Lonchura striata: one gene and its partner. The protein of the gene in region 2 interacts with the protein of the main gene of each other region in a biochemical or structural test. Links are inferred from orthologs where the notes say so. Each region holds a gene or a part of one and is shown on either strand. Other genes may lie near its edges.

Evidence for each region.
Region 1: of the proteins of RIGI (region 2) and RNF135, one has a biochemical effect on the other in vitro, tested with the Homo sapiens proteins (6 studies listed by BioGRID, with this or other methods). The link is inferred for Lonchura striata from reciprocal best matches to the Homo sapiens genes RIGI and RNF135.

Annotation. Positions count from the first base shown.
Region 1 is NC_134621.1:8,122,003-8,125,919, reverse strand, and holds the start of RNF135 (E3 ubiquitin-protein ligase RNF135), read right to left. Parts: upstream 2,615-3,917; 5' UTR 2,499-2,614; coding exon 2,154-2,498; intron 1,421-2,153; coding exon 1,334-1,420; intron 790-1,333; coding exon 619-789; intron 1-618.
Region 2 is NC_134642.1:47,535,533-47,539,449, reverse strand, and holds the start of RIGI (antiviral innate immune response receptor RIG-I), read right to left. Parts: upstream 2,816-3,917; 5' UTR 2,629-2,815; coding exon 2,523-2,628; intron 2,443-2,522; coding exon 2,311-2,442; intron 561-2,310; coding exon 382-560; intron 1-381.

The DNA of each region.
Region 1 (3,917 bases), on a different chromosome or scaffold from region 2:
CTCACTGCCTGTAACGGGACCCTGGATCAGGTGAATTCCAATGCAGGCACCTGTTCCTGGATCCTGGAAGTTCAATTCTGTCTCATGGCACTGCCCCACCCAGTAAGCCCCACTCCAAATTCCTGCTGGTTAACTTGCATCACTTGGCACTGTTGTTTTCAACATCCAAATAGGCTCTACACAATCTGAAGTACTTTAACTTCATCTTTTGAGGTCCTTGATGTGTTTTCCTCAAGAAAACGGTTACAAAATATTTAATAACTCTATGAGTTTTTAAACTTGCATAACTGTGTGGAAAATAAAAAGATAATGAAAGATCTTGACTTCAGATTTGACTGAGTACTGGCTTTCAGCACTGCACTCCCACTTCATTCCAGCTCACCAATATCCTTGGAAAAAATCTAGTTCTGAATTCTATTCCCAGCCTGTGCCTCTTTCAGTACTTTTTTCCCCTCTGAATTTCTCACTCCAAACTCTCCCTGCTGACAGCAATGTCCATGGACTGGCACCATTGTCTCTATGAGAATGGTGCAGTGAGGACCTCAAAGGTGCTCTGTACGTATTCAGCTATCCCAGTGAGCCTGAGTTTCTACTCATATTCTGCACTTCATCACTTACAGTTTGGGCTTTGATGTCTGTGAGCTGGTGAATAGTCTCTTCAATTTTCTGTTGAGCAGCTTTTTGCTGTTGTTCAATGAACATCAGTGTGTTTCTCTCCTGTCTTTCAACATATTCCTTCATGCAACAGAAATCTTTAGTAATCTGGCATTTGATCTGAGATGTATATTCCTGAAAGACAGAAAATATGGAGTTCATTGTGTGGTTAGGAAAGATGCACGAAATATGATAATTACTGTCCCATCTAATGTGCTCTTTGAGTGACCCCTGCAGACCAAAAAACTTTATTCAAAGGAATGAAATATATTTGATACTATCCTGCATTACATACAATGAGATTTGGGGCATTTGGATCGTGACTATTTTATGGCCAGTGGACTCTGCTTGACAACTCAGAAAGTTCAATATTCCCTCTTATTATTATTTGTAATTTGCATCTAAGTGTACCAGAATAATTCAGGCTACTCCTGGGAGAAACAGAAAAATGCAACAATGCACAACTCCAGTGGCTTTTGTGCCAGCCAAGACACAAATAATGCAGCTGATGGCATATATTCATTCTCATCAGCAAAAACAGGATTATGACAGAAAAGAAGGAAACAAAAAGGCGGATGGATTCCAGCTGTGAGCTGGAAGGCAACCCTGCAGTCAACATCTTCAGCCCATAACAGTGGAAAGAGAAAATTACTGTAGGTGATGAATGTACAGTGTGTACCTTTGTTCTGTTGAGATCTTTCCTCAACAGGTGGATGGTCTCTGCAGTTATTTCTTGTTGCTTGGAGCTCTCCCATATCTCTTCCTCCTTTAAAGTGACACATGGAACTATTTATCTATAAAAACCTCAGAGAAAGCATGACTAGGCTAAGCTGCAGGACAATAAAAATTCCCTACATGACTTACATTAGTTAAGCAATCGATGTTTGAGGAATCGTCTGAAAGACACAATTCTGACTAGGATAATCACAATTAAGTCAACATCAACAGTCACCAATTACTTATATGTTCAGCTGTAACTGTGAGCTTTAATATGCTCTTAGCTTGACTGAAAAAGATATATATGTGCTAAAACAATTAAGGTCAACACGTTTTTCTCATCTCCTCCTCTGGGAGTCGTTTTAAGCAGAGATATAGATCATGAACCTTTCCCATTTCGCGCCATAAAGCTGGGTGGAGCTGTAGCACTGTCGTGTCCTTTCAGCAGTCTCCAACGCAATGTTGATGCAGTAAGTAACACCCAGCACAAAAGAAGTCACTTACTACTATTGTGCATCAGCTGAACGCGTACAGGTATTAGCTCTCCTAATTGTGTCAGACACCACCAAGGAGCCCCAGCACTGTCAGCCGAACCCATCTGCTCCATGAGTTCTGTGCCATGGGACGGAAACCCGGGCTGTCCCAGAATGTCGCGGGCAGGAGTCCCCGGGAGCCGGGGGATGCGAACTCGGAATGCCCCCGGGGTGTCGCGGAGCAGCCCCAGGATGTCGGGCGGTGAAGCTCCCGGGTGTCGGGGAGCCCCGGGCTGCCTCCGGCCGTACCTTCTCCCCACGTCCCCGCCCCGCCGAGCTCAGGTCGTTGCAGGCAGCAGCTCCATAGGCTCGCGGCTCCTCCTGCGCTTCCAAGGTGTCCCTCAGCTCCCGCGGGATGAGGCCGAGCAGCGCGGCCAGCTCGCGGTTGGGCCGCAGGTGCTGCGGCTCGAAGGCGCAGCGGCAGAGCGGGCAGGCGGCGCGGCGCCGCCCCGCGCAGTACCGGAGGATGCAGCCCCGGCAGAAGCTGTGGCCGCAGCCCGTGAGCCGCACGGGCTCCGCGAAGAGCTGCAGGCAGCAGGAGCAGTGCAGCTCCAGGACGCGCTGCAGCCTCTCGAGCTCGATGACGGCGCCCATGGCCCGCCCGGAGCGCGGCGGCCGCGCAGTTCCGATTTCCCCGGGCCCCTCCTCCGCTGCCGAGAGCGCCCCGGCTCTGCCCGCCCTGCTCTGCTCTGCCCCGCTCCTTTCACGTGCCTTGGTCGCACGGTTTGGAGTGCGGGTGGAAATGGACTTTGACGCACAACTCTCAAGGGCCTGGCCTTCACTTTCGTTGACTGTCCAAAAAAAGTCCCCGTTATCTGCACAATTTCATTTCCTCCGTGACTTTCCCGATTTTGTAATAGTGAAAGTTGCTGACATGGGCAGTCTGCTGACCCAGCCGGAAGAACAGTGCCACGGCACAGCACAGTGCAGACCTTGTCTGACTGAAGTCCAGGCTACTGGGGGGACCAAACCCTTCTGAGGTCATCCCCAGCTACTCAGGTAATCTCAAAATAACAATTAACAATGAAGACCGGCATTGTTCATCATACAAGTCAAAAGCTGCTCTCTGTTGATTTCAGGAGCTGCAGGATTAGGCTGTTTAATAGAAATTGCTGAACCACCATGTCAGCTAGAATGAACGGGGTTGTGTGGGGACACAGCCTGGAACACAGGAAGTTCATGGGAGCATATCAACACAAAAAACTGCTGCACATTGCTCAGAGCTGGATGATGAGCTAGCTGAGAAAGGCAGAATAATGAACCACCTCAATTGCTTTGCACTACTGGGCGAGTGGGGGTGGAGAGAAAGAAGGATTAGTGTCACTAATTCCTGCAAATATTGGCACTTCTCATTTCTGCAAAAAAAGAACTATTTACAGTATCTCAAGACCAGCTGGCAATTGTCAGCAGAAGGTGGAAGCCTCACCAGAAACTTGGTCTGCAAGACTTCCTCTTGATTTGCAAAATGAGGCTATCTGTAAAGAAGAATTAAATGTGTGAATGACTTGCTGCTTGGTAGAACCAGATCTTAGACTTTGTCTTGAGGCATGGAACACTCAGTGCTCTGTGTCAGCCAGTGCAATCTCCATCAGTTCCTGCACACAGTGGTACCTGATGAGAAGGCTCCCCTCCAACACCGAACACCAGTCCTCATTCATGGAGCATTTGCAAGCAAGTCACTGAAGAAATACTTTTAAAACTTGTTTTTGCCTTTCAACGTTCAGTATAATCAAGCTCATTAAGCTCCATCTGTTCCTGGGTGAGGCAGATCAATGCATGTTCATCCTTTACTCTCAATGTATTCACTGGGGCACCATGTGGAGTTGTGCTTTGGAAAAAAATCATTAGATGTTGGATTTGCCAGTCACATAAACACCAAACAGTAGAGACTGTTGAAAGCAAGGAGCTAGAAGAGTCTGTGTGATTTCATTACAGGAGTGATCCCATTACAGTATCCTCTACAACTTAAACTTGGCTTGGTTTTTTATTGTGCCAGAAATGTAGTGCTGTAAG
Region 2 (3,917 bases):
AGAAGCTTTGCAATAAAATTCAGCCATTTACCCACTACAACTTCAATAAGTGTTTAGTGTGTAGTTACACACTAAATTTAGCTGGACTATAAAAATAGCTAGGTTATTTGTTGAATATTTATAAATGGTGTGAAACATCACAGAGCTATTCTGTCAATTTCTGTCTGGAAAAGTCTCACTAATAAACTCTATCTGCCATAAACCTCTGAGGCTTTCTATTTCAGAATAGGAAAAGAAAAAAATTATATAATTATGGCAGACCTGTGGCCAGCCATCCTCCTCACCCAGCCACTTGTCACACAGGCACTGATTCATCCCACAAGAGAGGGAGCCAGCACTTCTCTGAAGAAAAACTAGGCAAATACGAGGATTTTAGCATACCTGCAGGATTTCATCACATTCCCTCTCTATCAGGCATGTGTTTATGTATGGCATGATTGCTACGGGATCAATTTCCAGCATTGTTGATTCTATCCGCTTCAACAGCTGCCTGTGCAGCTCCAGTTTTTCCAGTTTGCCAAAGTCCCAGTTTTCAATTGCTTCTGCCAGTCCAGTGTAACCTTTCAGGTAAAAAAAGACAAATCATTACTGTGAATTCAATCTCTAGCTAGAATAGGTAGGAACAAACTGAAAAAACATTTTCTCAGCCACACTGGAGAAATTAAAATTGTTTTGTCCTGTAAATGATAAAAATCTAGGTGAGGCACATACAATTTTTATCTAGTAAGTTACTATTTTCCTTTTTAGAACTTGTATGGCCTAATATGAAAAACCTATGCTGAAAGACCAGTAGCACCTGCAAAAACAAGACAGAGCCACACTATGTCACAGGTCATATCATCACATCACCAAGAAACTATATCCACTTCTGTCTTTCAATCATACAATCCTTGTAATTCTTGCATTCCATGATACTCTTTCACAGGATTCCCAGAGCAAAGAACACTACACAGAATCACAAGATGCTCTGGTGGTCTTTTATTTACCTGCATTTTATCCTTCACTCTTGTCCTTGGCTCCACCCTCCTTCAAAAATCCCTACTGTACTGGATTCAAGACAGTCACTGACTGAAAGCAGTACAGACACCTGCAATCTAGACAGTCATCAAACAGCTGCAAATACGGTCCTGGAACAGACAGCAGCAGGGAAGCATATTTTAAGGACTTGTGTGATTTGCTAAGTAGGCTTCTGAAGTGGAAAAAAGCAGATCAGGGTCCCAAAGGAACTTGTGGGCAAAAAGAAGGAATTTGCCTAACTTCTTATTTCCTTTTAGAAGAGCAGGAGTGGTGTAGATACTTACCACCATAATGTCTTTAGTCTAAGTATTACTTATCCCTGCATCTGCCAAAAAGAAGAGTAATTCTAAATTTTAGTCTCCGGCCCAATTAACAACTACTTGGGATAGCACTTTGAATCAGCAGGCTAACTGTCTTAACTTTTTGCTGAACACTGAACATTACTAGCAGGCTCAAAGTAGATAGTTCTTCAATTCAGAAATCAGGATTATCACAGACTGGTAAAATGTTGCTCTGGACTTAGGACTTGCTTTAAGGGATGAGTGGGCCACATCCCATATTGTAATATTTTTTCACTGAGATAATTATTCATAATTAATGGTGAGAAAATTAAAATAAAAGTGGGGCTCAATGTATCTAATAAATCACCAAAAAGGATATATGATACAATATACTCATATAGAAGAAAGCTGGAAGATGCTGCTAATTTAATACCTTCACAATCTGTTCTCTTCCATTTAATAAAAGAAGTTGGATTAGGAATTTACACATGAAGTAGTTATAACTACTATGGAACAATTATCCTTATAAACTACTAATGGTTACTTCTTGAAATAGAAGACTTTCAATGCCAATAAGTAACTTTTAAAATTTTTTAAAAAGTCATTTAAGACTCTCGTTGAGTGAAGTTATCCCACGATTCCAGTCAATTCCCACACACCTGAAACCCATTTGCCTTTCTGCTTCAGAGGATTTAGCCTCCTTTCACTGTATTCGGTGAGAACAATAGCCGTCTTGTTTCTTCTCTAAAGGCTCAGAGACAGGCAAGTCTCCTGCCAATGAGGCTTTCTCCATCCTCAGAATTATTAAAGCTGCTTCACCTCCCAACAGGCTTGTTTCCAGACTCTGTCAGCTTGCCTTTTCCTACGGCATCTGAGCTGATGTGACTGGACGTGCGGCTGCACCGAGGGCGGCCGGAGCGGCCCCGCCGGTGCCGGGAGCGCCGGGCGGCTCCGCGCAGCCCCGCCGAACGCGGGCGGCAGTGCCGGACAGGGGCGGCGGACAAAACCCCACCTGCTGCAGCCAGAGCATCCTGGAAGCCCCGGAACCAGCCCTCCGCCTCCAGCAGCAGCACGGCATCCAGGAACAGCGCGGCGGCCGCCGTCACTCCCTTCTCCTCCTCCTTCCGGACCCTCTCCTTCACCTCTGCAAGAACCAGCAGAGGCAGTGAGGGCAGCGGGAGGGGGCGGGGGGCGGGCTGGGGGCAGCGCCGCTGCCGCTCTCACCATCGGACAGCCACTCCGTCATGTTGCTGAGGATGTACACGGGGTTCAGGCTCCTCTCGATGTAGCGCCTGTAGCACCGCAGGTTCTGCTTCTCCTCCGCCGTCATGGCGAGGCCGCGGGCGCACCGCCGCCGGCGGTCCCGGTGGCGGTCCCGATCCCGGTCCCGGTCCCGGTCCCGGTCCCGGTCCCGGTCCCGGTGCCGGTCCCGGTCCCGGTGCCGGTGCCGGTCCCGGTCCCGGTGCCGGTGCCGCGGCCCCTGCTGCGTGCGGAGCCCGCCCCTGCCGTGGTGCAGAGAGACCTGGTAGGGAGTGAGTGGGAGCCGCCCCCAAGCACGGAGCGACGGGAAAAAGAAACTTCACCGCGGCTGGAGAATAGAAACTGAAAGCAGCTGGGAAAATGGGCGCTGCTTTCCTCTTGCGTCTGTCTTTAGCAAAAGAAAAAGGGGACTGCTGCCCTCACCCCAACTAATCATATGAGCATGCACACAGTTGTGACCAGCCCGTTTCTGCGGCTGCCAGGGTGAGAAAAAGCATACCGAAGAAACAGGAGTAAATGCACAGGTCTACCTCCTCTTCCCTCTTGCCCCCAGAAAAAGCTGAACGAACGGGCTTCCATCCTGTTTTGTTTCGCTTTGTTTTTTGGTGGGTTTGTTTTTTTTTTTTTTCTTTTGTGGTGGTGTGTTTGGGTTTTTTGTTTTTGTTGGTTTGGCTTTTTTTTTCTTAAGATAGAAGCACTTTTAAAAGCATTTAGAAAATGGATCAGGCAGGTGAACATCAAAGGAGAAGGCTTACCAAAGGAACAATCCTGTTGCAGGGGAGAAAGCACCCACAGTCAAAGTGCTGCTAAACATGACAGCTCCACATGCAAGCGTCCCTTTCACCATGTGCTGAGTGGATGTGTCATACACAAATAGACAACTGACAAGTACTGGTCCAGCACAAGATCATGCTTCCCAAAGTCTGCCAACACAAGACCTCTGAGTCATGGGCTTGTAGTGGACAGATGGGGTAGCAGGGGCAGAAGGAGGGGTGAGATAAGTAGAAGATAATTTGTTCACTGTAATATGCTTGCTTGTCTTAGTTTGCATAAGAATGTACTGTGGTATGTTAACCTAATTTGTTTTGCATAAAATAGTGGCTAAGAATGTACTAGTGTATCTTTGAAATGCTTATTTGCTTACAAGGTGATAAAGAAGTTGAGATTAAAGTCCTGGGCATGTGTATATCTGGTCTGCTTGCTGTATCTCAAAAGAAGAGACTTAGAAGCTATCACAACGACCAGACTCAGACTACATTTGGAGAGTCACGTCTGCAAGGAGAAAAGGGGGGATAAAAGGAAGGTTGGGACAAAACATTTTTGCGCGCCGTTGGTAGAGCAGGAGATTCCCCGGCCGCC